4 linked regions of the Schizosaccharomyces pombe genome follow. The protein of the gene in region 2 binds, or shares a complex with, the protein of the main gene of each other region. Each region holds a gene or a part of one and is shown on either strand. Other genes may lie near its edges. A codon is read from its position in the direction of its gene.

What was found.
Region 1: the proteins of arc4 (region 2) and arc1 are in contact, whole or in part, in a crystal structure (PDB 3DWL), measured with the Schizosaccharomyces pombe proteins. Residues at the interface, in NP_594116.1 of Schizosaccharomyces pombe: Ala21 (codon at 1,359), Leu22 (codon at 1,356), Glu23 (codon at 1,353), Glu24 (codon at 1,350), Phe25 (codon at 1,347), Ser26 (codon at 1,344), Ser27 (codon at 1,341), Glu28 (codon at 1,338), Ile29 (codon at 1,335), Val30 (codon at 1,332), Glu31 (codon at 1,329), Arg32 (codon at 1,326), Gln33 (codon at 1,323), Ser34 (codon at 1,320), Glu45 (codon at 1,287), Ile46 (codon at 1,284), Leu48 (codon at 1,278), Ser66 (codon at 1,224), Val67 (codon at 1,221), Tyr121 (codon at 748), Thr123 (codon at 742), Glu124 (codon at 739), Met126 (codon at 733), Leu127 (codon at 730), Lys128 (codon at 727), His129 (codon at 724); in NP_595909.1 of Schizosaccharomyces pombe: Pro13 (codon at 3,593), Ile57 (codon at 3,414), Gln75 (codon at 3,360), Arg77 (codon at 3,354), Arg101 (codon at 3,282), Ala102 (codon at 3,279), Gly120 (codon at 3,225), Ser147 (codon at 3,144), Thr148 (codon at 3,141), Leu150 (codon at 3,135), Ala166 (codon at 3,087), Trp207 (codon at 2,964), His225 (codon at 2,910), Tyr270 (codon at 2,775), Asn271 (codon at 2,772), Tyr272 (codon at 2,769), Ser338 (codon at 2,571), Leu339 (codon at 2,568), Gln344 (codon at 2,553), Asn345 (codon at 2,550), Thr368 (codon at 2,481), Asp369 (codon at 2,478).
Region 3: the proteins of arc4 (region 2) and arc5 are in contact, whole or in part, in a crystal structure (PDB 3DWL), measured with the Schizosaccharomyces pombe proteins. Residues at the interface, in NP_594116.1 of Schizosaccharomyces pombe: Thr4 (codon at 1,410), Pro7 (codon at 1,401), Tyr8 (codon at 1,398), Asn10 (codon at 1,392), Ala11 (codon at 1,389), Ser14 (codon at 1,380), Thr15 (codon at 1,377), Ala18 (codon at 1,368), Ser19 (codon at 1,365), Leu48 (codon at 1,278), Lys49 (codon at 1,275), Leu51 (codon at 1,269), Val52 (codon at 1,266), Val53 (codon at 1,263), Ser54 (codon at 1,260), Arg55 (codon at 1,257), Gln60 (codon at 1,242), Ser65 (codon at 1,227); in NP_593727.1 of Schizosaccharomyces pombe: Asn109 (codon at 3,624), Tyr112 (codon at 3,615), Leu115 (codon at 3,606), Ala116 (codon at 3,603), Ser124 (codon at 3,579), Leu127 (codon at 3,570), His130 (codon at 3,561), Glu131 (codon at 3,558), Val134 (codon at 3,459), Ile139 (codon at 3,444), Ile142 (codon at 3,435), Val143 (codon at 3,432), Val145 (codon at 3,426), Leu146 (codon at 3,423), Asn147 (codon at 3,420), Ser148 (codon at 3,417).
Region 4: the proteins of arc4 (region 2) and arp2 are in contact, whole or in part, in a cryo-EM structure (PDB 6W18), measured with the Schizosaccharomyces pombe proteins. Residues at the interface, in NP_594116.1 of Schizosaccharomyces pombe: Glu31 (codon at 1,329), Arg32 (codon at 1,326), Gln33 (codon at 1,323), Pro36 (codon at 1,314), Glu39 (codon at 1,305), Val40 (codon at 1,302), Gly41 (codon at 1,299), Ala98 (codon at 998), Glu99 (codon at 995), Phe102 (codon at 986), Ile103 (codon at 983), Leu104 (codon at 980), Arg105 (codon at 977), Arg106 (codon at 974), Lys107 (codon at 971), Leu117 (codon at 760), Thr119 (codon at 754); in NP_001342919.1 of Schizosaccharomyces pombe: Tyr218 (codon at 3,304), Leu225 (codon at 3,283), Leu229 (codon at 3,271), Ser230 (codon at 3,268), Glu231 (codon at 3,265), Glu232 (codon at 3,262), Thr233 (codon at 3,259), Thr234 (codon at 3,256), Val235 (codon at 3,253), Met237 (codon at 3,247), Ala307 (codon at 3,037), Gly308 (codon at 3,034), Pro310 (codon at 3,028), Ser311 (codon at 3,025).

The regions. Positions count from the first base shown.
Region 1 is NC_003423.3:2,209,864-2,218,066, reverse strand, and holds arc1 (ARP2/3 actin-organizing complex WD repeat subunit Sop2), read right to left. Parts: upstream 3,670-8,203; 5' UTR 3,630-3,669; coding exon 3,557-3,629; exon of another isoform or gene 3,510-3,556; coding exon 2,449-3,509; 3' UTR 2,250-2,448; downstream 1-2,249. Other genes in the region: cdc18 (MCM loader), read left to right, coding at 194-1,927; meu17 (glucan-alpha-1,4-glucosidase), read left to right, coding at 4,695-6,047; acetolactate synthase regulatory subunit Ilv6, read right to left, coding at 6,471-6,981, 7,062-7,255, 7,705-7,842, 7,905-7,931. UniProt on the Schizosaccharomyces pombe protein: Functions as a component of the Arp2/3 complex which is involved in regulation of actin polymerization and together with an activating nucleation-promoting factor (NPF) mediates the formation of branched actin networks.
Region 2 is NC_003424.3:3,257,971-3,261,279, forward strand, and holds arc4 (ARP2/3 actin-organizing complex subunit Arc4), read right to left. Parts: upstream 1,515-3,309; 5' UTR 1,475-1,514; coding exon 1,472-1,474; intron 1,418-1,471; exon of another isoform or gene 1,417-1,417; coding exon 1,214-1,416; exon of another isoform or gene 1,084-1,213; coding exon 960-1,083; exon of another isoform or gene 779-959; coding exon 602-778; 3' UTR 501-601; downstream 1-500. Other genes in the region: gamma tubulin complex linker, pericentrin/kendrin Pcp1, read right to left, coding at 1-195; ubiquitin hydrolase Ubp6, read left to right, coding at 1,731-3,137.
Region 3 is NC_003424.3:2,345,153-2,352,686, forward strand, and holds arc5 (ARP2/3 actin-organizing complex subunit Arc5), read right to left. Parts: upstream 4,173-7,534; 5' UTR 4,119-4,172; coding exon 3,973-4,118; exon of another isoform or gene 3,929-3,972; coding exon 3,856-3,928; exon of another isoform or gene 3,816-3,855; intron 3,730-3,815; coding exon 3,553-3,729; intron 3,463-3,552; coding exon 3,400-3,462; 3' UTR 3,300-3,399; coding exon of another isoform or gene 3,273-3,299; 3' UTR 3,171-3,272; downstream 1-3,170. Other genes in the region: urh2 (uridine ribohydrolase), read left to right, coding at 1-655; negative cofactor 2 complex subunit Bur6, read right to left, coding at 1,280-1,879; CENP-W family protein Wip1, read left to right, coding at 2,856-2,936, 3,057-3,170, 3,273-3,299; mediator complex subunit Med20, read left to right, coding at 5,175-5,188, 5,231-5,319, 5,389-5,867; ilv3 (dihydroxy-acid dehydratase), read right to left, coding at 6,219-7,534.
Region 4 is NC_003424.3:4,778,362-4,787,059, reverse strand, and holds arp2 (ARP2/3 actin-organizing complex actin-related protein subunit Arp2), read right to left. Parts: upstream 4,039-8,698; 5' UTR 4,006-4,038; coding exon 3,958-4,005; intron 3,934-3,957; exon of another isoform or gene 3,908-3,933; coding exon 2,783-3,907; 3' UTR 2,295-2,782; downstream 1-2,294. Other genes in the region: Golgi 4,6-pyruvylated galactose (PvGal) residue biosynthesis protein Pvg5, read left to right, coding at 780-1,898; protein Fta6, read left to right, coding at 4,787-4,817, 4,865-5,013; pheromone p-factor receptor Mam2, read right to left, coding at 5,326-6,372; SPOM_SPAC11H11.03C (uncharacterized protein), read left to right, coding at 6,811-6,819, 6,875-7,037, 7,393-7,537, 7,576-7,879; protein mug162, read left to right, coding at 8,631-8,698.

The sequences.
Region 1 (8,203 bases), on a different chromosome or scaffold from region 2:
TCTTCGTGATTAATTAGATTTCGCGTTTACGTGTCGCGTCGCGTATATTTATAAAAGACATATCTGCTCTTAAACAAAACTTAAACACCAAGCACGAAGTTAATATTACTTAGTAGCCCTTTTATCAAATTTACCTGACTTGTCTATTGGTAAATAACATAATTAGTAAACGGGGTTACTATAAAGTATCGATATGTGTGAAACTCCAATAGGTTGTCATACACCTCGAAGATGCAATCGTTTTATAGATTCTGCAGCCTTGATTGACTGTACTAACAAAACTAATCAAAGGGAGCATTCACCTTCCTTTTCAATAGAGATTCCGACTACACCCAGCAGAAAACGTACGCTGGCTAGCTCACATTTCCAAACACCCACAAAAAGAATAAAATATGAACTAGGAGAACTGCAAGAGGAGAAAACTGACCTTTATCCTAATTTTCCTGCTCAGTTAAAGGAGAATAAGAAACCTAAATTACCCACAACACCTCAAACTCCTAAAACCCCCAAAAGGACCATTCAAATTGTTACACCCAAATCATTAAATCGTACATGTAATCCTGTTCCATTTGCTACTCGCCTTTTGCAATCGACACCTCACCGTCAACTTTTTCCTCCCACTCCTTCGACACCCTCCACTCCGTCCTATAATTCTACTGCCAAATTGAGTTTACGTAAATCATATCGTTCAGCAGGAGTCGTGGGTCGTGAAAATGAGAAGTCAATTGTGGAATCTTTCTTTCGTCAACATCTTGATGCTAATGCTGGAGGTGCATTGTACGTAAGTGGTGCCCCTGGCACAGGAAAGACCGTTCTGCTTCACAACGTGCTGGATCATGTAGTGAGCGATTATCCCAAAGTTAATGTTTGTTACATTAATTGTATGACTATTAATGAACCAAAAGCAATTTTTGAAAAAATTCACTCTAAAATTGTTAAAGAGGAAATTTTAGAAAATGAAGATCATCACATCAATTTCCAATGTGAACTAGAGTCGCATTTCACCCAGTCCGCCAATGAATTATATAACCCAGTCATTATTGTTTTAGATGAAATGGATCACTTGATTGCTCGCGAACAGCAGGTTCTGTACACGCTTTTTGAATGGCCCTCTCGACCGACTTCGAGATTAATTTTGGTAGGCATTGCAAATGCCTTAGACATGACAGATCGATTTCTCCCTCGTTTACGAACAAAGCATATTACTCCCAAATTACTCTCTTTTACGCCTTATACTGCTCAAGAAATCTCAACAATTATAAAAGCGCGTTTGAAAACCGCCGCTACCACATCAGAAAAAAACAATCCTTTTACTCCTATTAAATCAATCTCTGAAGTAAGCGATGATAGTATAAATGTTGTATCTCAGCATGCTGATGAAACACCTTTTATACATCCTGCTGCAATTGAATTATGTGCCCGGAAAGTTGCAGCTTCAAGTGGTGACTTGAGAAAAGCATTAGACATATGTAGGCATGCAATTGAACTTGCGGAAAGAGAATGGAAAGCTCAACATGACAACACATTATCTTCTGTTGATATACCAAGAGCATCAATTGCTCATGTTGTCCGAGCGACATCTGCTATGAGCCAATCTGCTAGTGCTCGTTTAAAAAACCTTGGTCTTCAACAGAAAGCCATCCTTTGTACGCTTGTTGTTTGTGAAAAAACCTCATTGAGTGTTGCCGATGTATTTGAAAAATACAGTTCTTTGTGTCTTCGAGATCGTTTGATTTATCCATTAACAAGTTCGGAATTTTGCGATGTCGCGAATTCTTTAGAAACTCTTGCAATCATTCGTTTGCGCACGAAGCAGCGTAACGGAAAGCCTCAGGACCGAATCATTAGTTTGCTTGTTCCAGAAATGGATGTCATTACAGCTGTTGGAGACATTGGTACCTTAAAACGATTTTTTGACAGAAGATAGTACTATCATTTCTTTCTCATTCTTTTTTTCTATTCATTATATTTTTATTTCACGCGTTACGGTTTTCAAATTTTGCCGAAAGGATCAAATTAGAACATCCTTTCAATTTCGTTGTTTGGATTACATAAATTTGAACAATATTATTTATCCAACTTGGTGTTTAAACTTTTCAGGTTGATCTTTACTAATTTTACTAACTATACAATTAATAAACACTTTAATCTAAGTTATATCTAATGATTATTCGTAAGAACGCATACCCGTGGTTCAGTCTCAAGTGGTGGTATAAGTAAACTTACGTAGCAAAAGCACTTCTCAATTTTGGGGTCTCTAAGAAAAAATATATACACAAAACTGAATATGATTGACAAAAATTTATAAGACGACATAGTAATCATATAAGCTGCGGAATAACAGTTACTATATCTAGCTAAAGCTTGTTCAATTCTTTTATTCTATGAGATTAACATCTACGGAAATTCGATAATTGATTTGATAAGATTCATTTGCCGATATCTTTTCTAAAGAGTCCACAAAACAACACGTCCGTCGGTACCGCTGGAGGTAAACGCAGTAATATTGCCAGGAGTCCCAGCGTAAGGTCGAAGGGTTGCAATCATATTTTGATGAACGGTTGGTAAAGACGAAATAGACTGGCTGGAGCCCTTCAAATCCATGTTACGGAATGTGCTACGAAGAGCAGTAAATGAAACAGGACCCTCTTCCTCTCTACCTTCACCAGTATTTCCTGTGTGAGTGAATGAGGTCTTGGAAGTTCCGGCATCCAAATCGCGAGTATGGGCCCAACCGGACTCATTGCCTTGCAAAAGAATAGGAGAATAGTTATAGCCAGCAGCCACAATGGCACTCTCATTCGCCCAAAGAAGAGAACGCAAAGGCAATTGAGATAATTTGACAGTAATTAGAGCTCGTGGGGGTTGCTCGGGAGCACTGGGATATGCAATCGTAACAGAAGAATCATGGCCAGCATACGCTAAGGCATTACCCGAAGGTGAAAATCCAACGGCGTGAACCCAACCACCAGATGGGTATTCAGCGCAAACAGTGTTGAAAGGTAAACGTGAACCCCAAACGCTGGCTTCTGGTTTGGCATCGACATCACGAACATAAGCAGATAAAACGTATGCCTTACGGTCTGCACAGCCGGCAGCTAATAAAACGTTATTAGGATGCCAGTCCAAAGACAAAATGGTACTACGAAGCGGACGTTTCAGATGTTTGCTGACCCACCAGTCATTTTCTTGTTCAAAGTAGCAAACAGAAATGACACGAGCACCACTACCAACAGCAAACTTGTCCTCGTTAGGCGACCAACGAACAAACGTAGCGGCACGATTCAAACGAAGTAAGACGAGGGTCTGCTTCCAAGTCCCATCAGGACGTTTCTCATAAACATAGGCATTACGGTCTTGAGAGCAAGTTACGATTCGATTGGATTTCGGAGCCCAATCGACACAAGTTACAATCTTATCGTGATCGCTAAATGTTCGGGCATGCTTCCACCCATTTCCATCTTGCTCGTAAAGTTCAACTTGGTTCGTAGCAGTTGTGGTGACAAACTCTATATCAAATTTGTTAAAATCTACTTATTTAGGTCCTATACTGTACCTGTTCTTTGACTATTGAACGCGTGTTCGTAAGAGGGTTTAGGAAGAATGTGTAAAACTTGAGAGGTAGCCATTTTTCAGTAACAGGACTAGCAGTCTACTGTTTTGCGGATGATAGACGATATCCAAGGCTGAATCGATATTGGTGATGACGAGAGCAGTAGATACATTAACAAAAAACGTTAGAGTACTTTATATACGATAACGCATATCGATGGTATCGGTAACTCCTTTGTTTACATTTTAAAGGTTTGTAAATATTACAACTCAATTAAGACTAAAAAAAATTCCATTAAATAAAATTTGATTTTCTTGCATATCTTTTAGAGATTTTTTATTTTTAAAATATGAGGTGGATACAAGATTTCTATTTGCGTTGATTGTGGAAGAACAATAGATCTTAATGTCTTGACAATCGTGAGTGAACGATGCTCTCTGAGTATTTTTCTTATTAATGAATAAATAATAGGGCGAAGAGCATAATACAATAATTCTCCTTTACAACAAAGAGATGTGTTTTAATGATTGCTGGAGTAACTGAAACGTTGCTTCAGAATTTGACAGCGACATCTTGTCCATTATCACAGTTATATTTTGTGCTTTTTAACGATGATTATTTAAAAAGATCACACTTGTTGCTTATACTCAGACTCAGTAGCGTATTTGATATTAAAAGCTGTGCTGTCGATTTTTTCCAATTCAACAAATTTTGTCGCTATTTAAGTAATTGGTGAATGCACACTTCCATATTATCATAGATCTGAATACTATAGAATCAAACTTTATAAGCAAGTGTTGAAAATAAACAAACAATAAATACATTTTCTTTGGTAATCCTTGCTTCGCCAAATTTTCAGTATAAGCCAAAAAGGATCAATCACATTCATTTACTCTGTTTATTTACTAACTTATATAGTCTAGTTTTGTCCATTCGTGTCGCAGCATGATGATCGATTTTGATGGTAATTCCCTCTGTTTTTGTTTACTAATAAACAAAGCAAAAGACATATATAGAGCAAATATTCCAGTTAAATTTTAACTAAAGCGCATATTTTTATTCGTTTGCCTATATAATTAAACACGATTGCCATCAATATTTGTATAGTCTACCCAATTTTACAATACTTTTAAATTCCAACATGCGTACATACTGGTTATTCTTACTCCTTGGGGGGGTCGTATCTGCAGAAAGCTTACTTTCCCCTAATAAAAGAAGCAAGGAAGCTTCTATGGATGAATGGACGGATCAGCAAAAGGGTATTGCTATGGGACATATGCTGAACAATATCGGTGACAGCGGTATGCATGCTAAGGATATTAATCCTGGATGTATTATTGCTTCCCCTTCAACTGATTCCCCTGATTACTATTATCAATGGGTTCGTGATAGTGCATTGACGATCATGACTATTTTAGATCGTTTCTTTGAAGGGGACAAAGGACTTGAGCCGATTATCGTCAAATATATGGATGAAATGGTCAGGCTCCAAAAGGTCCCGAACCCAAGTGGAGACTTTTACGCCGGAGGTCTTGGTGAGCCTAAATTTAATGTTGATGGGACAAGCTATGACGGAGATTGGGGACGTCCCCAGAATGATTCCCCTGCTCTTCGGGCTATTGCATTTATCAAATACATGAATTATTTATTTGAAAATGGTAAAGAGGTCCATGAAGTTACTGTCTGGATTGAGGCTGTATTAGCCGACTTGGATTATACTGCAAATCACTGGACAGAGGCAAGCTTTGATCTTTGGGAAGAAATTAAGGACGTTCATTACTTTACTCTAGCCGTTCAGAAGCGTGCCATGCAAGATGGTACAGCTTTTGCAAAGAGAATTGGAGCACCTGACCAAGCCGCACTCTACCAACGCACGATCGAGCCTATTGATCTAAAACTGGGAGAGTTCTGGGATCCTGGAATGGGTGTTATTAAGGGTTATAAAGGCAGAGTCGATCGCTCAGGACTTGATTGCTCCACTTTGCTTGCAAGCCTTTACTCAAATGAGTTTGATATGCACATCCTTCCAACCTTGTTGAAGTTGCAAGAAACCATGACCAGAGATTATCCCGTCAATCAGGGATGGAAGCAAGCAATGGGACGCTATCCCGAGGATGTATACGATGGTGTCTCTAAGTCTATTGGTAACCCTTGGTTCATTTGCACAAGCAGCGCTGCCGAGATTATCTACAAAGCAATCGCATACTACGATAATAAAGGTTTACCAGAATTGACTGAATATAACATCCATTTCTTTATGAAATTTGCTGAGTTTGGAGATCCATACAACTGGTCCGTTATCAGGAAAAACATGCACACATATGCTGATAACTTTTTAAAAGCTGTTGCTGAGTTCCAACATCCAAATGGTTCAATGTCTGAACAATTTTCGCGTGACGATGGTCACCAAAAAGGTGCAAGAGATTTGACATGGAGTTATTCATCCTTATTAAATGCCATCTACAGAAGAGAGGCAATCAAAGGCTCTGTCTAAAATATTTACGAAATCCAACGGTGTTAAGTTAGCCAGCTATCTTAACACCTTAAAATACCATCCATGCCAACAGTGTAATTACACTGAAATCAAGCTATTCAACAAGCTAATGACTTTTATAAAAAGGATGAAATCATAGTCTTTTTTAATAATAAAAAGTAATGCAAAACAATGTTATCGTTTATATGTTACCTACAGCTGTTTAAATAAAGACAACATAGCAACAAATTTCATCTAACCAAATAAATTTCGATGTATATTCGTAGATTCCTATACAAAAATCTCAAAAAAATAACTAAAATTTTTACGCAAAAAGTACAACCGCTCTTTGGATGTACAAAACACAAAGTGAATATATTTGTACAATGGGAAAAAATGCTTAAAGCATCAAAGTAGAAGCGAAGAATGCGATTTTTTTTTGGTTTATCCAGGAGGAAGGAAAACCTCTTCAACTTCAACATCGTCCTCAGCTTCTTCAGTAACTTCGTTAGAATGGGGTGCGCGAGTCATCGCAGATGTACCAGTACGGCATGCTTCCAAGACACCATAGGGACGCAACAAAGAAAGAAAGTTATCAACACGATCAGGAGTAGCAGTCAACTCAAGAATAATAGTCTCCGTAGAAATATCAGCTACACGACCATGAAAGAGAGTAGTAAGTTGATTGATAGCAGCCAATTGACTGGCACGAAGTTGTAAAGCAGCATTCGCATTCATGACACCCTCACCATCACTTTTAGCTTTAGCATTGGTAGACTCGGCAACTTTCTCACTTCTCTCAAAATGCTCTTGGAAGTGATCAGGGCCCAAAAGCGAAACTTTTGCAAGAAGAAGCTCACGCTCGACCATGCTGGTACCGGTGTAATCCAAGACTGCCCAAACAGATACGATATCTTCAATCTGACGTTTTGCCTGCTCAACGACTTCATCAGCTCTAAAAAAATGTTAATAAAAATTAGAAGGAAAGTAAAAAAGGTCAGTGACAATTATAATTGGATCAATTACTTTACATACCCTCGAAGAACAATCGTCATCCTAGAAAGATTCTCTACCTCAGTTGCGCAAACAACCAAGGAATCAATGTTAAATCCACGAGCGGCCAAAATACCAGAAAGACGGGATAAAACACCAGGCTCATTCTGTACTAAGCAATTGAAGACATGGCGTTTGGGTCTTTGCACACGGTTGAAGGGGGTTGACATTATAATCTAATAACCGTTAGTCAAGGTTTCATATGATTGTGACCAAAGTTAAAAGGACCCGATTTTGAAGGTAGCGGATAAACAGAATACAGATCATACCACGATCAGCAACGAAATAATCAGTGTAAATAAGAATGGAAACAATTTGCTAAGAAGGAATCCAGACAGTAAAGACTAATGATCGAATAATCATGAACGAGTGTTTAAGCAGCAGCTCATAAGCTACTTAACTCAGCATCACATTCATTAAAACGTATCTCCAAAGAAAATCCACAAAGATGCCCAAAAAAATTACAAAAAATCATATTAATCTTTATCTCCTATTCAAATTTAAATTCCTTAATAACATGATATTATCACATAATCCGCTTCCATTTCCGCCTTATTTTACAACTGACTTCGCTCACATGTATACTGACAGTACGTATTCATTGAAAACTTCTTCAATAACTTACATTAGAAACAGCCTCTGGAACAGTAGCCCTAGGAGGCTCAATGATCCTACAACGAGGCAAGGGGGAATTCGCATGCAACGCCTTGTATGTGATGGGAGAAGTGGCAGAGGTTGATTTCAATCGAACAAAGCGATTGGCCTAATATGATTTGTTTAGTTAGCTTATTTTCTTAGCACATATTATGTTTTTTAAGTGCATACCAAACGGCCGCATCTTCTTGCGAACATGGTGGTTAAGCGCAGAATGTTGTTACTAGGGTAGTGTGAACTCAACGCTTTGGGAAATTTTTCGGTTATTCAAACTTACAACTTTAGATACGTTTGATAGCGCATATTATATTACAATTTAGTTGATTTTATAAAAACATGTTTTATTTTCTTTTGTGCGTGTAACAAAAAAATCATAAGTCTGAAGGCTGTAGGCATTCAATTTTAAGCAAGTCTTTACCAAAAGATATACTTTTAAACAGGCATTTAAATATTAAGCATTTTCATGGATT
Region 2 (3,309 bases):
TTTTGGTTGATAAGAGCCGTTGCGCAAAGGCGTCTGGAAAGATGATTTATCATTAAGGTACGAACCACGGAAATCAGAATAATCATCGTTATTATTTTTGAGTGATTTCCCCAAAAAATCAGATTGGCTGATCACAGAATTCGCGTTTTCATCTTTAAATTTGGGAGATTGCGTATTAAAATCTCGTTCAGACATAACGTAACTGCGGATGCATGTATTTATTAAAATTATCCACCAACTAGCGCAAGTGCATAAAATTATATAGAAACTACTTATTCTGGCAGAATCATTAAAAAGCAAAAATGTTGTTGATTGTAGTTTGTTTACAGTCGTCAAATGATCAAATAAACTACGAAACAGCTCCCTAATATAAGTAACAACATATCGTATACTTTCGTTATATCTTGTAAGGATGCTAAAAGTCAAAAGGCGAGATTGTAGATATGAAGGATTATCGAATGTAAAACTGCCTTGATATGTTTATTGTACTCAATACAGAATAGAAGAGATAGGAATTTTATTCGGAAGAAGTATTTGGTGCTCATTTATTTATGTATAAATTGATAAAATCATCGATAGGGTCCAAAACGTAAACATGAATCTAAAAACAACTCAGATAAGTTTCAGCAACAAGACGAGCTCTTCCGTTCAAGAAAAGTTTCATCTCACTAATTTCAGCGTCAACTTCCTCCATAAACTCAATAATGAAATCAACTAATTTGTGCTTAAGCATTTCCTCAGTATGGTAATTAGTTATAAGAAAGGAAATATCATAGCCCTATAACAAAGAAAGGTTAGTTTGATGATATTTACAAATAGCAATGGCAACTTCGAAAAAGAAAAAAAAGAAGAACTATACAATGGCTGAGGCAGAACAGTGAACACTTAAACTAACGCAAAATCTCTAGAAATTCTTCCCTTGAACACTTTTTTGCCAATTACAATTTGTAATAACGTACCTGAACAGGTTTGCGGCGCAAAATAAAGAAAGATTCTGCACGACCCATTAAAAACTGCATAAATTTGCGCACAAGAATTCGTTCAATTTCATCGACTTGTTTAATACGAATGCTGAAACGAACACTAATTTCATAAATGCATCAGTAAAAAAAATCCAAATAATGAGAATGACTTTCAAAACTCCGTTATTCCAAATCGAAAGATCAGTGAATGTACCAGTTCGAATCGGAAACATCGGATGCCTAAGACATACCTATTAACAGAGCTCTCAATCAAACACTGTTCTTGCTCATTACGAGAGACCACCAGGGGCTTTAGTAGAATTTCAGGAGACCGTCCAACCTCAACTTCCGGCTGACTCTGGCGTTCTACAATTTCTGATGAGAATTCCTCTAATGCTAAAGAAGCAGTCAGAGTAGAACGAACTGCGTTTAAATAAGGTCTTAAGGTATTAGACTATGCCTTCGTTAATAAATCATATCTTTTTATAACAAAAGAATTCCTCTCTTACCATAATTAGAATCTATGGAGTCAGTCTCCGGGTTTGGTTTTGTGCTAACACGTAGTGTCAGTGTGATATTGCTTAACGAGTTTAGCGGCACAACCACGCACGCTGCGTGGTGTTACCGAAAATGAGTATATAGCTCGTTACTGTATGGCCTTCACCAAGTACCAGCAACATATATAATAAGTATAATTTGCAAAGAATTACAAAAAAAATTATATTGGGCTTAAACAAGTATTTCTTTCATTAATTACAAAAACCATTTATGATGATTCCCATAGCAATTCGTTGGCAAGGGAAGAAGTACGACTTAGAGATTGAACCTAATGAAACAGGAAGCACCTTGAAACATCAACTATACTCGTTGACACAAGTTCCTCCGGAACGACAGAAAGTGATTGTCAAAGGTGGCCAGCTTAAAGACGATGTTTTGCTTGGTTCAGTTGGTATTAAACCAAATGCAACTTTATTAATGATGGGTACTGCAGGCGAACTACCAACAGCTATGCCCATTCCAGCTGTCGAGTCAGTAGAACAAGAGGAATCTGAAGATGATGGCTATCCGTCAGGGCTTATAAACTTAGGCAACACGTGTTACATGAATTCTACAGTTCAAATGCTGCGTGCCATTCCAGAATTATCAGACGCTGTCTCACAATTCAATTCCTCTGGGGGTTTGGTGGCAGAATATCGGACGTTATTAAATTCTATGCAATCTAATGCTCCGGTTACACCAATGAGGTTTCTTCAAAGTCTACGCATGGAGTATCCACAGTTTGCAGAAATGAGTAGAGAAACTGGGGGTTATGCTCAACAGGATGCTGAGGAATGCTGGTCATTCTTGCTATCAGTTTTACAGCGCTCCCTATCATCTGAGTGGGTACAAAAAAATATGGCTGGAAAACTTTTATCTACTATGAAATGTGATGAAAACGAAGTACAGGAGCAACCCTCTATTTCACATGATACGTTTTTGAGTTTACCTTGCCATATCTCTATGCATACAAGCTATATGACCCAGGGGATCCTTGAAGGGCTTACGCAAAAAATTTCTAAGCATAGTGATGTATTAAATCGTGATGCCATGTATAGCAAAATCTCAAGGATTTCTCGACTACCCAATTATTTAACTGTTAATTTTGTTCGATTTTACTGGAAAGCATCAATAGGGAAAAAGGCTAAAATTCTTCGTAAGGTTAAGTTTCCATTTGAGCTCGATGCAGTCGAGTTTTGTACTCCTGAACTTTCACAAAAATTGATTCCCGTACGTGACAAATTACGTGAAATTGAAAAAAATGATGAAGAACATGAGCGAGCTGCTAAGCGTATCAAAATTCAACCTTCAGAGGACGAGAAGGAGGCGGAAGCTGAGTGCAGGCTTACTCAGGTTGCGACGTGTCAATCACTAGTAGATCCTGAGCTCGCTGATGATGAAGGAGCCAACCCCACCGGCCTTTATGATTTAGTCGGGGTTTTATCACACGCCGGTGCTAGTGCATCTTCAGGCCATTACCAAGCTTGGATAAGAAATAGCAATAATCGTGCTGAATGGTTCAGGTTCAATGACGCAAAGGTATCTATCGTTCCTGCTGAAAAAATTGAAACTCTCGATGGTGGTGGTGAAGCTGACAGTGCCTACATCCTTCTTTATAAGGCAAAAGACATTGCATGAGCTTACGATTTCTTTATTTTTTTTTAAAACCTTCTTTTGACTGTTTATTATGGGAAAAGAACTAGAACGTATCATATCAAAGTGGCATTGTTTACTCTCACGTTTTAATAGAAGGGCTGGGTCATGATTTATGTAAGATAAAAACGCTCAAAATATTATTCCAGTAAACAGT
Region 3 (7,534 bases), 910 kb from region 2:
GGCTACTCCTGATGCGGTGTTCGCTATGTATACCACTATTTCTAATTATCCAGAGCCTGTCACTCTCGTAGCTACCGGTCCTTTGACAAACATTGCATTGTTATTGGCAACGTACCCAAGCGTTACCGACAACATAGAAAGGTTTATATTTATGGGTGGTAGCACAGGCATTGGAAATATTACTTCTCAAGCAGAATTCAACGTGTATGCTGATCCTGAGGCAGCTAGGCTCGTTTTAGAGACTAAATCACTTATCGGCAAACTATTTATGGTGCCGCTAGATGTCACTCATAAAGTACTTTTAGATGCAAACATTATTCAGTTACTGCGTCAACATAGCAACCCATTTAGTTCCACACTGGTAGAATTGATGACTGTCTTTCAACAAACTTATGAAAATGTCTACGGAATTCGAAACGGTGTTCCCGTTCATGACGTTTGTGCTGTTGCTTTGGCGCTGTGGCCATCTCTGTGGACCTCGCGTTCTATGTATGTGACTGTAAGCTTAGATTCTCTCACTCTTGGTCGCACTGTCTGTGATGTATGGTCGCAACAAAATCAGTATCCGGCTAATGTTCATGTTGTTTTGGAAGCTGATGTTTCATTATTTTGGGAGACGTTTATTGGAGTTATAGACAGGCTCAATTATTTGTAGTATATTTATGACATTATCGACTAGTGTTTTATGTTTATTTTTTACAACGATCAAGTTCTCCCTTCATTTTCAATTTTGAAAGCACTTCAAGCATTCATCATGCCCTCTTATATCATCCATTGGAAATACAAAACCAAATACTTTCTTTTTTACTCAAAGAAGTACGTTTATACTTTTGCATTGCATATAGTTTTATAAAATCTTAGACTATAAAAATATCATTATTTGAATTTAAATACTAACAACAAAGTATGTATAAATAAATGCTTAATTATAAACAAAAGGGTGTACGAGTAAGTGATAGGTTCGTAGAATTGTCAATAGCATCATTTTGGCAAATAAAATCAGTAGACGCCAAGTTGGTCTTTCATAGTACATTAATAAGGCACTTTAAAAAAGCTCAATATGAACAACCAGAACGTATTATATTCTTAAGTCGAAGAAAAGGCTTAAAAATACTAGAATTAATGTGCCAATTTTATAGTCCTATGTACAAGTAGCTTGAGAATATTTTCTGAAAACAAATTCAAGAAAAAAGGGAAGATAAGAATAAATGTAATAGCAAAACAAGAATAAAGTATACAAAGACATTATATTTATGGTCATATAGGGTGGAGAAAGTAGCTACTCATCACCAGACGCGGAAGAGGCTTCACTAGTTGTCTTGTCAGAAAAATTACCATGATCAACAGAGGCTTTCTCCTCGTGATCTGCTTCAGTTTCCTCACCAGTAGGTTCTTCTTTGACAGGAGTTTCTGTGGTAGCTGATTCGTCATCTTTTTCAATTTCCTCTTCTTTAACAGTATTCTTTTTAACTTTTTTAGCGGGAACACTTTCATTATGCTCACCTTCATTAGCTGCTCGACGAGCACGGGGGCGTTTTGTCTTTCTTTCGGCTTTAATGGGCGGAGCATCCGGTACTTTTTCAACAATGTCTTGAAGAAAATCAAACTGTTCAACACTTTGAACAGCATGCTTTAAATGAGAAACGGTAACACGCTTTGCTTGGTGCAATCGCGTCTGTTTGCACGATTCTTGAATTATACTCTGCATGAACAATTCCAACGCTTTCGACATAATAACCGGAGTAACTTGAGCGACCTTTCCAACGTCCTGGTCTGCTTGCATAATCTTTTTTATACGAGCAACAGGAAATCTGCTTTTCCAGTACGTAGCAGGATTTGGTTTAGTTTCACTATCATTATTATTTGTTGGATCACCCATTATAAGAAGCAGAATTAACAAGATAATTCGATATTAAAGTCAATAGTAAGTTGGCGTGTAAATGATTGTTTCGGAAATGAATCGCTTGAAGGAGCTGGTAAGTAAGGTAGTAACGAAAACGTATATTACTACCTCTATTGAGACTGTCTGTCAAGTTTTTAAAAAAATTTTTTTTCTAATTTGTCGAATTTGAGAAGTTAAAGTAAAAATCTTCTAGTGCCTAACAGCGGATCTTAGTATTCTTTATAACAAGGTAGTGGTGAAGGACTCGTTTAAAAGCAGAATTTTATGTAGGTCGCGGAAAGCAATAATTCGGAATCACAAGCGACTAACTTCCAGGAAATATAGCAAAGAAACTCGGTAAATATTAATTTGGTTTTCTTTTAGTCGCCATACTTGCCAAGTATTTTGCTCAATATTCCAAATGAAGGCAATTTAGAGGTTCATAATATGCATACAATCACAGTTTAAATAAGAATAAAATAACAGATTCAGATATACGTGTGTAATCAGAGCAAGCAAAACAAACCAGCAACCAAATTTTTAAATACTAGTAAAAAGTTTTTCTTTTCTTAAAGTAGTAGCGAGTAAATACATGCTTACAAATGAACTCAAAGTATTTAAAAGCTTTCATGCTTAAGATTGCTGCTAATTGATATAATATTCCAACTTGTTTTGACAACAAAGACACATAATTTGCAATGTCAGTGCTTTAATCTTTGTACGTAATAATTACTTTTACTAAGAAAATTTCAATTAATAATATGACATTAAATTTATAAAAAATTGATTTGCAATAGCACCTTTGTAGAATCCTTCGAACTAATGACTCAAAAGGACTCGCACTTTACCTTCTTCGAAGACGACACAACGATTATCACTTTCTATACAGAGCTATCCTTGCAAGATATGATTACTCTCTAATTTTACAAAACTAAACGGGATTAATATTTTTTTTTGCAAGAAACTACTTACTATGAGCTATCCTAAAGCACGCATAAGACGATTTTTTCGTCAGCATTGCCAGCGCAGCCTTGAAAGTTCCGCATTGGATTTGGTATGGAAAGTTATAAATGAAACTAGCTATTTCTCAGTCAGTATCTTTTTGGACGCGCTATTCTAATAAAGATATTCAAATTTTTTATATTGAATGTTTTCAACTAACAGAATTTTCAAGGTATATTTGGATTACTGTCTTTTCTTACAATCCTTACTAAAAGAAGCCAATATTGAAGCGGCTAAGACTGGGGAAAGAAGAGTACAGCCAGAACATGTTCGAAGTATTCAAAGAGTAAGCTAATATTGAATAAACTAGATTTATTATCTTTTCAGCAAAGGCGTAAATCGATTGCACTTTATTTTTTAAAATGGAACATACTTACTAACCATTTAGAAAATTCTAGCTCAATTTAAAGGATAAAAAGAGTCATTATGTGGGAAAGAAGACATAAAACAGAATCATTGATTCAGTTCCATAAGCGACAGAATAGTAGATACCAAAAAGTAAGATAAAGCCATATTTATAGATCGGGTCTACTATTGAGAACACGAACTATACATCCTATACCGGATATTTCCACCACCTACAAAACCGTATTAGTGACCGAATAAAAATGTAAAGCATGAGATAAGCAATGCTAGAGCGTTGGGAAAAGCAATAAACTAAAAGTTACCTTTTCGTGCCAATTAAGTAATACAGACGAGTTGTAGGCTTGAGGATTCGCCAATCCACGATAAATGAAGTTTACAATATTATCAATTTCCTCCGTTGAACATTCTTTTACAAATGCGGGAATGTCAGCAGCTCGTATATTGCTTAATACATCAACAAAAGCATTCAAATATTGAGTCTAAAAAAGTTAAAATTCATTTACACCATAATAAAATGAAATCAAGAAGAATTGTAAATTTAATCAATAAATAAAAACGTAATTGATATAAACCGTCTTTAAGCAGTTTGTACAGTTTGCACATACCCTAACTTCTTGAACATCATTTCCATAAGGAACATATGAGAGTAAGGTTTTCAAACCTTGTAAGGCATTTCCTCTATTTTAATTAATAAAAAAATTGCTTCTTTTAAATAAACATACGTTTGAATGGCAGACCGGGCTTGAGGAATGAGTTGAGAGACGGCTGCTTGGACTTGCTCCGCCGTTTCGTTACGAATTGGAAATATATCTTGCTCTGTTAAAACAGGTTCTGTGATGGAGTCGACATCCAAAGTCCGAAACGTCATTTTATAACTCTATAACTGGTAAGGTAAAGAAAACGATGGAACAGGTTAAGTTTCAGCTGTGTGTAGCTCTAAAGAGGCATCATACAACGGTCGAACGCAAGTCTGTAACTGAAGTTATTATAATTCATAGAGTATATTAATTTAACCAATAAGTTAAGAAAATTCAAAAAAATATATTTATATTTTTTTAATCTTATAACTTTAACTTATAATTTTTGAGCGGAGCTATATAAGTCTGGTAACAGCATTACTAACTTCTTCAGTACTCCATAGACCTCTTTTGTGGATGTTTATTTTTTTTTATTTGTAAATAATCATCTCTACCTTTGGTCTTAGATGTAAAGTTCTGAATAACTTGTAGACAGAAATTGGTTACATATTTTACATTTCTGCCTATGGTGATTCAGAAGAAAATATGTTAGATACAGCCTAGTAATTAGTTGAATAAAGATTAAAAGTAATTTTTTTTTTGCTTCTATCTATTTTCAGTATGTATATTGATGTATGAGTTTATACTTCTATTCGAACAATAACTTTTAAGACTTATTTTGCTGACAGAACTATGTAGTTTCTTGTGTAAAGTTCAAAGTAAAACGAAGAGACACATATGTAACATCCTGGGATTAACAGATTTTTAATTAGTGCTCAAACCAGCCAGTTACATTGTTACGTAGTATTTGACTCTCCAGAAGTTAATTATGAATGTAATTCAGTTAACTTAATTCTCTTCAAGCTTTTAACAATTTGCTCTGGGATTATCATACCCAAAAGCCATATACTTTGCGACTTGGAAAATAATAAAAATGACAAGAGATAAATTAATAAAATTTGAGCTCATATTATGTCTATCTGCTTTTTTTTTTTAATACAGGAACAATGAAAATGAAGGTTTTAAATTAGCCTGTTAGCAATTCTTGCAACCGCCGTACGCATTAAACTCTTCACATCAACATTACAGTAGAAGTAAAAGAACTAATTCGGCCATTTTTCTCAATAATTCGGTATAAACCGATATTCAGATGCATAATTAATTACCATTCATCTTTGTTATAAAATATGCCTGTTCACGGGTAAAAAGCATACCGATTGACTATTTTGCTGATTGATTATAGAGTTATTTATTATTCATCGCCTTCAATGGCGACGTTCCTTTCTCCAGCACAGGATAATCTGGTTAGGACCTACTTTGCACAACATTTAAGTAAGCTGACACTGGTTTGGATTTTATTTCTTATGATTGATGATTTCAAGATCTAACTTTGAATTTCAGAAAAATGGGTAGTTCAGTATAAACTTTACAGAAATGCTGTCACTCCAAAAACTTTAGAATTTTTGAAGCAAAACATTAATCCCAGCATGCTGGCGTGTGTGGATGAAGCGACAATGATTGATGCAGAACCTGAACTTGAGGACATCATTGTGCGAACGAAATTATGGAATTTTCGGCAGTCCTTTACTATTGAAGGTTCAATATATGAAGTAGGGAGCTTTAAAGTGGCTATTGCCAACGTTTTACAAAAGTCCGTTTGGAAGGGTATACTTTTTCATGTAACTTACGATGGTACTGAGTCCGTCGATCTCGCACGCCCTATTATTCAAGAATTCTTTCTTAAATGCTTTTTACAAAATAATAAATCGGTAACCCCTGTCTATGAAAGCTTCTTTAACCAGCCTCGTCATTCTTTGGATTCAAAACTTCTACTACAGTTGTTTAAACAACGCATTGATACCGTTTCACAACGCACATAGAATAAAAAAGTATCAATTTAAATTTTTTCTGTAAATAAATTTCTATCTAACTAACTGTCAAAGTCTTGCTTTATTGTCAGCAGAAAGTTATGGCTCCCTTTCACATTTACAGATACCAATTATGTTTAATAATAAAATAGAAATGCAGGAGTTTGAATAACAACCCATTTTAAACTCGATGCATTTCACTGTACTCCAAAAAGTAATTATTCATTCAAAATTATTCAAATAAACTCTAGATGAGATTATGGAATCAGCATTAAAAGCTTATTAATCAACCTTTACTACCAAAACATTAAACGTCTAAGTTTCCAAAATACTATGCGCGCTTATAAAAGCATTGAATATGCTTTACTCTAAGGAATCTGTAACAGCACCCTTGGAGGCAGTGCTAACGTTGCGAGCATATTTTAAAAGGGTTCCTTGTTGGTACTTCAAAGGAGGTGCCTTCCAAACACTGCGGCGTCTCGCCATCTCCTTCTCATCAACCATCAAATCTAAAGTGTTCTTTACAGCATTGATTTCAATGACATCGCCGTCCTGAACAAGAGCAATAGGGCCTCCAACTTGTGCTTCGGGATCAACGTGTCCAATCAAAAATCCGTGAGAGCCACCACTGAAACGACCGTCAGTCAAAAGTGCAACATCCTTTCCAAGACCAGCTCCCATAATAGCACTTGAAGGCTTTAACATTTCCGGCATACCAGGTCCACCTTTTGGTCCCTCAAAACGAATAATGACGACAGTCTTCTCGCCCTTCTTGAACTCACCACGCTCTAAGGCAGCAATAAAATCGTTTTCGGCATCAAAAACACGAGCTTTGCCGGTGAAGTTCAAGCCCTCTTTGCCAGTAATCTTTGCGACAGAACCTTCAGGGGCTAAAGAACCACGGAGGACACGTAAATGACCCTCGGTCTTGATGGGGTTGCTCAAAGGTCTAATGATCTTTTGACCTTCGGCAAGGTCCTTGAATCCTCGTAGGTTCTCAGCGAGAGTTTTACCAGTAACGGTAATATTAGAACCATCGATGAGACCTTCAGCATGGAGATATTTAAGTACTGAAGGAATACCTCCGATAGCGAACAAATCTTCCATAACGTACTTCCCGCTAGGCTTCATATCGGCAATAAACGGTGTACGGTTACTGACGGCTTGGAAATCATCCAAAGTTAAAGTGATACCAACAGACTTAGCAATTGCGATCAAATGAAGAACAGAGTTGGTAGAGCCACCAAGAGTCATCGTCAAGACCATAGCATTTTCAAAAGCAGAACGTGTCATGATGTCGCGAGGTTTAATGTCGTCAACCAAAAGTCGCTTTATAGCACTACCTGCAGCTTCGCATTCTGCAAACTTCTCAGGTGAGCCAGCAAGGTAAGAAGAAGAACCGGGTAATGTCATACCCATAGCTTCGGCACAGCTAGCCATTGTATTTGCAGTATACATACCACCACAAGCACCACCTCCAGGACATGCATGACGAATAATGTCATGACGGGTTGGCTCATCAATTTTTCCTGTGATAAATTCACCATAGGATTGAAAAGCAGAAACAATATCGATGGGTGCATTGTTCTGACAAGGAGAGTGACCAGCACGAATACTACCGCCGTAAACCATAATACTAGGGCGGTTGAATCTTCCCATAGCGATTAAACAACCAGGCA
Region 4 (8,698 bases), 1.5 Mb from region 2:
TGCGTTACTTCTCTTTCCAGCCTTAGTCCTTGATTGCCGCATACTTTGGTCATACCAGTGAATTCAAACTCATCCTCTGTACATCAACCCTCCCATATATTGTATAGAATATTGGGAAAAGATTTAACGGTCAAGGGAACTATAAAATTTGGTCAAGTCTTTTTTTAACTACTCATTTCGCATCTTCCAAGTATAAATGCTCTGAGCCCCACTCTTCAAATTTTCTTCCTAGCCTGTCGTGATTTCGTGAGACCGAAGTCCGATTAAAACTCAACAAAGTAAGGTATTTCTTATATATTTTCTCTACTGAAAATTCGTCTTTTTTCGTTAATCATCTTCTTAATTTAATTTTTTTTTTCTTCATTTGCCGTTGCTTTTTTTACTCCCACGGCTCATAATACAAATAAAAGGAAATCTTCTAACTTTCTAATTTCTCTCGTTTAATTTTTGTTTTGGTTAGACATTTGCTACTTTCATTCGTTCCTTCTTCTTCCTGCCCAGAGAAGTCATTGGTATCATCTTTACACTTTTATATGGTTTCCCCCTTTGACTCATTTTCTTATCCTCGTTTCCGTTTGTGTGTCGATTATTTGTATTGAAGGGTTTTAAAAAAATTTTTTCCTCTTTATTTAGTTTTCACACTGGTTCCAAAACTGTTATCACACTTGTTAAAATAGAATAGTGAGTATCGGTTCAAGAATACTTGGTTTTTTCTTCTTTTCTTTCTTTTAATTCATATTTGATTTTTCTTATTCTGTTTATGCTCACATCCAATTGATATGGGCCTTCCATTACGGATTTTTGCTGGTAATGGTATCGGCGGATGGTGTCTTCGACTATTCTTATTTGGAAGCCTCATTCTTCTACTTCGTCCTTTAATCTTCTATTCGAACACTACTATGAAAAAGCTGAAAACCGAATATCCTATTTATCATCGTCATTTGTCAGCTTTAAAACGTAATTTTTATTACACCATGGATGCTCAGTTAGGAGGTATTCGCAATGTTGTTTTGATCAACCGCCCATGCTTTGCCGCCTCTGATAATTTTCTTACTTTAATGGGCCAAAACTGGTACTTGAAAGAACGTAATATTAATGTCCTTTCTGATATATGTTTTCCCCTTTCTAATAATGCTCACGATTCTCTTCCAACTTTTAATAATGGCAGCGACTTATTTAATCCTTTGTACTTTGCAGTTTTGAATGCTGCCACTCCTGCAAGGTTCACATTTCATCTGTTTAATCATGTCATGGACTCTGTTGTTCCTTTTGACGAGGCTAAAAAGTTCAAAGTTCGTTCTTTCCCCATCAATTATGCTGAATATGCCGACGATGAATGTCAACTTGCACTCAAAAAGATTCGACCAATTCCGGATAAGTACCTTGTCTCCACTCGGGTATTATCGGATTCACGATATCTTGAGTTAAGTGGTGCAGTTGTCGCCTTTGCCCCTGATGCGTCTTCTTCTTTGCTATTTGAATTAGCAGATATTAAGCAGCATAAAAAAACTTCAGCTGATATACTGATATTTCTATCCAAAGATCACAATTTGCCTGTTTCATTTTATGATAATTATAAACTTAAATATACATTGCACTTTTGGCAGCCTCCATCTTTTCCCGATTCCTCTACTATCGACGATCAAGCCAAACTTTTATTTGACTACGTGGTGTCCCAAGTTGTGAAGTACCCATATTTTGTAACTGATATTTATCAGATACATTTACTTGGCGTTTATCTTAACTTGAAGCATGTTTATTTACTCGAAAACGATGACGTGGAAGATGCTTATTATGAACGACAGTGGATGCAGGCGTTCCAGCGGAAAAATGTTGTTGCTGTAGCTGAGGAACTTCAAACAGCTCTTCGAATAATTGAACAATGGAAGCAACTTTAAATTACTTCTTCTGGATTCTTCTCTTATTTACTCCAGTCGTTTCTCCTTTTTTATTCTTTGCTTTTGTTCTTTGTTTTTATATTTTCATTTTCATTACTGTTGTTCTATGTTGTTCATTTTTTATTCACATATTTTCGGTTTCACGTTGTTTTTCATCTGTCGGTTTCACGAGGCATTTTGTCTTCGTAAACTACACTTTTATATTTGTTCTTATTTATTTAAGGTTGTTTCAATGTTCCGTCGTTTTGTTTCCTAATGAATTCCTCTTACACCGTTATGAGAAATTTCAGTCGATTTGTGCGGCAATTTCTACTCCTCTTATGCTGTCGTGCTTAATTAAGAGCATTAATTTTTCTAGGCTGTCTTGGACACATTATTAATGGTTTATATATACAATTTAACAAAAAAATTAGGTCGGTAATTTATTTATTTACAATAATAGAAATTCCTGCTTTTAAATGTTACTCATGTTTTCCGTGGATGTCAATCTTCAGAAAACTAGAAGCTCAGAATGTCAAGCTATTTTTGTTAAAACTAGGACCTAATAAGAAAACGCCCTAAATGGGCGAAACCAAATATATACGTCACGGGAGTCTAGTCATTAAGTCTGTTGCTATTGAAGTGTACTAGTGCATATTGAGTAAATAAGATCGTTGGTTACAAAAAGGTTGTATAAACATCAAGCATAAGTAAATAGCCCATCAAAAGAAAAAGGAATCAAAAAGGCAAATAAAAGAAGGAATCGTACCGTCTTTTAACGATGGTCGGATTAAACAGAAAACGTAATCATTTAGCAAAGTTTGAAATTTATGAATCAAACTTCGTATAACTCAATTTACTAGCACATAAAAAGAAAGAAACAGAACATTAAACATAAATATACTCTAAGTAGTTCTAGGACCCAATTTGTCTAGTGCACGTACTCCATACTCCTCCCATTCTGCCTTGGACACCCACATGTGATCGTTTTGAGCCATGATATCTGCCAATACGGCGCCGCCGATAAACACGGCATGACGGCGACGAGGAGCGTCTTCAATCTTAACCTTAAAGTTAGGCAAACGTGCGGGATCTCCATGAAGAACACGCTCAAACCATAACTGTTTTATTTCCTTTTCAAGACGTGAAGGAAGACCGGCATACATACTGCTACCACCTGAGAGAACAATGGCGCGATACAAATACTTGCGAATGTCCACATCAGCTGCTTGGATAGTGTCAAAAATAAATTCACTCAAACCTGGTTGTTCACTACCAACCAGATGAGGTTGAAATAGACATTCTGGACATTCATAACGCTCAGAACCAACTTTAATAACTCTTCCATCAGGAAGGGTGTAATTACGCATTAAAACGGTAGTTTCTTCGCTAAGCTTATGGTCCAATTCCAAATCATAACTAACGTAACAAAGTTTTTCTTTCATCTCGCGAACAGTTTCAAAGTCTGCTGTACGATTGAAAGCATAACCCTTACGAAGAAGTAAGCTAATCAAATAGCGGGTAGCATCCCTACCGGCAACGTCAAGGCGACCAACTAAATGATTTAAAACAACACTTTCATAGACAGGCACAATATGGGTTACACCGTCACCAGAATCAACAACTACACCACTGCTTAATCCCTGTGCGTATAAAGAGAGAACGGCCTGAATGGCGACATAAACACCACCAAAACCATACCGTTCAAACATTGTCTCACACATTTTTTCGCGGTTAGCAACAGGATTCATAGGGGGCTCGGTCAACAAAATTTTCCTACCCCTCGGATCAATTTTTAGTTTTTCAAAGAAAGTGTAATCCCAAAGTTGATTCATCTCTTCAAAATCACGGATAATGCCATTTTCCATGGGATATTTTACTTGAAGTAAAGATCTCACCGCCTCAGCTTCATCACCGACCATAACATCTTTAATTTGAACATTTCCTGTTTTCTCTTCAGCACGTAAAATGGGCCTTCCTACGATGGATGGGAATTGAAAGCGCGGAAAATTGTCTTTAGCATATCCGACCTTGCTAACGTTAGTCACAGTGTAAACAAAGATTTAATTAAACTGATTACCTTCACAAAACCAGTTCCATTATCTAGAACAATGGGAGCAGACTCCATTTTATAAACGTCTCGTGTAGTTGGTGAAAGGTTAGTTCTTAAGTCCACCCCTATGTAATGTACCGGCGGTAACTATCTGCCATATACCGTATGACACAGCAGCACTGCAACTGTAGCAGAGCATTCGGTGATATATCGTAAATATGTAATATCGTAGGAAAGCGAAGTGCAGTAATCTTGAGAATTATAAAACAGAAATGAAGTATCTAAATTAATTTAACAATTGGCTGCAAAAAGAATAGCTCAAAGGTTTTTACGGTTAATGATCTTATCTTCTATTGTACTTAGCATTAGTATCGTTACCCCTTATACTCAAAGCCATAACTGTGCATTTATAATTGTTCGGCAGTAATGTATATTATCGCTTATTAGTTAAAAGATTCTTCGTTTCACATAGTATTACTATTATTTAAAAGAAAAACACGGACTCTATTTGTTTGTTTAATGTGCAGGTAACACTTCGATCGTTTATTATGAGATTGGTATGACTAGGAGCGCTGTGCAAAAATGAAGAATCGCGGAACCGATTTAATAAAGAATTTATTTCTCTAGTAACTAGATGTGTGCATTAAATTGAATACAAGACTTAAACAAAAGAATTATAATTATCGACATATACCATTATTGAATATTTGTCATCTGTTTACTGAAATAAGTGGAGCAATGCAATTTGAGAATAACACATATCGGTTTAAAGATCCTTATTATATTGCTATTACTAAATTAAGGAGTGTAACGTTTCGCAGCTAAAACATTTCGATACAATATTTGATAAAAATAAATGGAGGATAAATACATTTTATTGTCAGCAGGTTGGTTATAATTTTTATTTAATAGCTCAATACTTACGTGTATATAGTGGAAACGTTTAAATCACGTCTGGAAGAACTGCTAATGCAATCGGCCAAAGTACAAAAGCAAACGATGCTTAGAAAGGAATTAGCTTCTTCGATGAATGATATGGCTTCTACGGTACAAGAAGCTTTAAATAAAAAAAAAAGTTCGTAAGGTAAGCACTTGGAGACTCAAAACATTATAGTTCATTATAGATTACGAAGGCAGTTCATTCACTATTGTTTTAATAAGTGTTTGTGAAGTACGACTTGAAGTTTTCATGATAATAAGTTATTATAATCATATAATTTCATTGATGTTTATAGTAAACAATTGTTCATGAAGCGAAAAAAAAAAAACCATTAGAAAACTTCCCTCTGAGCAAATTATGATTACAAGCCTATCGTAAAAAAACCGTCTATGTTATTTGGGACTGTTATTGAGCCAGTATTAGGAATTATCAAAAAAGATACATTCAGGCGTAAGTTACGTCCACTTTTTAGTTTCAGATTCATCAGAAATCGAATAATCGTCACTGGGAGTATGTTTGATATCAAACGTTCTATCAACTCTAATCGAAACCTCGGTGGTTTCTCCTTGCGCAGATGAAGTTTTCATGCTTTGCAATTTCAGAGCTGTACTAGACGCCCATAAACTCGAAAGAGGAAGAGAAATGATTAGCAGACATTGAGTCATAGAGCTAAAGCCATCATACGTATGGATAAAACTATCTATTATAGTAAAGGTAGCTGGAACAATAAGACATTGGCAGCTAATAACTAAAATACACTGCATCGGACCAAATGGAAATTGCCCAATTTTTTTCCGTATTAATATGGCACGAAAGAGTTTGTATGAAAAAACACCACTGTGAAAAATAATGCTAAAAGCAAAAAGTATTTTAGCAATAAAGTAGGGCCAAGAGTATCCAACAATGGTCTTGCTGCTAAGTGGAGTTAACCATAACAGATACTGAATCTGTTGACACATGTTAGTAATCCAAAATGCGAGAACCAAAACAGTTAAGCAGGCACTAATAACAGTCATTATCCTTTGTGTCTTTCTATCATGTGCACAAATTATACGAACTTGAATCATCATGCTCATCTCAGCAGTAAAAATGATGACCGGTGCAAGCAACAAAATTAAAATATTAAACACATGGACATACATATGAACCATGTTTAAGATAAACCCGTAATTAACCAGGATACTGTAGCTATTGCTGCATATGGTCACTATATTCAAAATGGCCCGAAGACACATTGCAACAATACTTGCCGAATTAAAAACAAAAACTGGGTGTTTTCGTTTTTCGGATGATGACAATAGACAAACCATCAAAATGGTAAGGACTCCTAAAGCAAGTTGGGCAGACAAAGTCATTCCAGTTAAAAGTCTATCTCTTTCATATGCATCAATTGTTGAAACTGGCACTTCAATCTCTCCTACAATAGAGACAATGGTAATATTTTGGTGAATAATTGCGGATGCATCGGGAATAGTAAAGTCTTTCCACCATGGTTGTCTCATAATGTCAGAGGGAGCAAGAACAATATAAACCCGAGATTTTTTTAGTTTAAGAAGTTTAAAAATGTGATTTGTAAAGCACTTGATGACTCAGTTTCCCAATGAACTGTTATGCCAATAATTCCTCTTTGTTTAGAATTTCCAGAAAACACTTCTATGTCTCAAAAGTTAAATTTTCGCTTGAAGATATACAGCAAATTTCCAAATATATGGACTCAAAACACACCAATGGAATGCTGTTCGAACAATTGCAAAATTGTAGTTTAAACAGATTCGAAACAAAAAACAAAAGGATTTACTATTGTTTAGACAGTTCTTAAAAATTATTTTTCATCTTTGTCAGAGATCTAGCTGAATTATATAACATTTTTTGTGGTACTCCATTGTTCAGATTTCCTATTGTTAACTTCATTGTCTAGTACCACACCTGAAACAATAGAAATGGAGGAGGTAATTATTAATCAAAGAGATAAGGAGAAATTAGGTGTAACTAACTTTATTGAAGTATGAAAAGTTTAGAGCGTTGGCGTCAAAAGAGGCTGAAAAACGAGGGTATTTATTTCAAGAAGCTCAGCATGCCTATTCAGCAGGAAACAAGGCTAAAGCGCATGAACTAAGCCAAGAAGGAAAGTTATGTGGAGAGCGTATGGAAAATTATAATCGACAAGGTAATCTCAAATTCTCATTAAAAGCTGTGATTGTTAGTTCAAACCCTATAAACTTTCAATAATAGAAAAACAAACCCATCATGAGATTTTTCTTTCTTTCTTTTCCACTCTTTTTGTTTGGTATCTAATTCCGGTAGTTATCGGTCAGACAATACGCCAAACAATAGTAGTTATGACAATGAACTATTCTTTGTACAAAGTGAAGAGCTCTGAAACAGCTGAATAAAGCCATGTGATTTAAGAGAAAAATGGGTTGGCTTCTTTATAGAACTTAAAACACTGGGTTTCTTCAAACCCATATTGGCTTCGAGAAAACAAAATAGAAGTGTTTTATGACTGTGCTAATTATTGATAGCGGCTTCAGCCATTTATTTATATAAAAACTCTCAATGCAATCCCGATGAAATTGATTTACATGGTCTGTACATCGATGAAGCTGTACAAGCAGTACAACAGCGAATTGAGAATTGCATCCGACGTGGTGACAATCATTTACATATGTATGTTTTACGCTTAATTAAAATTAACTCTTTTTTAGTATAGTTGGGCGCGGTAATCACAGTGCTAATCATGTGGAAAAACTACGACCTGCAATTGTGCGAATGCTTGAGCAGCAATCTATAAAATACAACAGTGAAGTAAATGAAGGCCGCATTTATGTTTATTTACCATCTGCGACTTCACCTATTCAACCAAATTTCAATTGCATTCAAGAACCTCAAGAAGCATATTCTCGTCCTCAACATTCAACTTTGACTGATCAAGTTGAGCCTGAAAAAATTGTTGAAGAAATTGCTACGAATTGTTTTCCTCGTCTAAAAACATGTTGTGCCATCATGTAACAGTTTGTTTTTTGCTTGTTAACACAGGCGACCATGGATACCAAATTGGGTCAACAAAATTTTAGGCGGTGAAATTATTAGCCAGGTGTCTGTGTATTAATCTTTTATTTCGATTCGGTCATTATTGTATTTATTGGGTAATTTAGGCTCTAGATTTTTTTGCTTGTTGCAACCTTAGGATTTTTTTTTTATTTCAAATAAATATTGAAACTTTTTTTAATAGATTATTTTATAGGAATATTTTTTTAATAGGTTTTCTCTGCTTTTTGTAAAAAATTCATTTTTATTATTATTTTAAAGATAATAAATCTAGCATTATATTGCCTACTAAAAGTTTTGTATAATTTAATTTATTTAAATTTTGTTTATTGTTGTTCATTAATTTTAACAACTGATTATATCAATTTCATTAAACGGTTACATAAATTTGAAAATTGTTTACACATAATAATAATAATAAATTTAGGTTCGATAAAATTTCGTAAACAATGACTAGTACATTCAACTGAATTATATATATATATATTTTTTTTTATTATTCTTTAAGCTGATAGAGAGGGTAGTACTAATCGTAAATAGTCAGTACCTCTACTGTACGTAAGCTCGCAATTCTTTGCTCGAATTATTTACCACAAAATTGCCTTGCCTTGACATATATTAAATACAGCTACAATTTTCAAGCTTATTTGCTGAAAATAATTGTCGAATGAATATATTTTAATTTGACAATATTTAAATTGCTTCCGCAATCATGGATGATGAAGTCTATAAACAAAGACTCACAGCTTTGAATAATTTGCGTATTGTCATTTTCTTCGA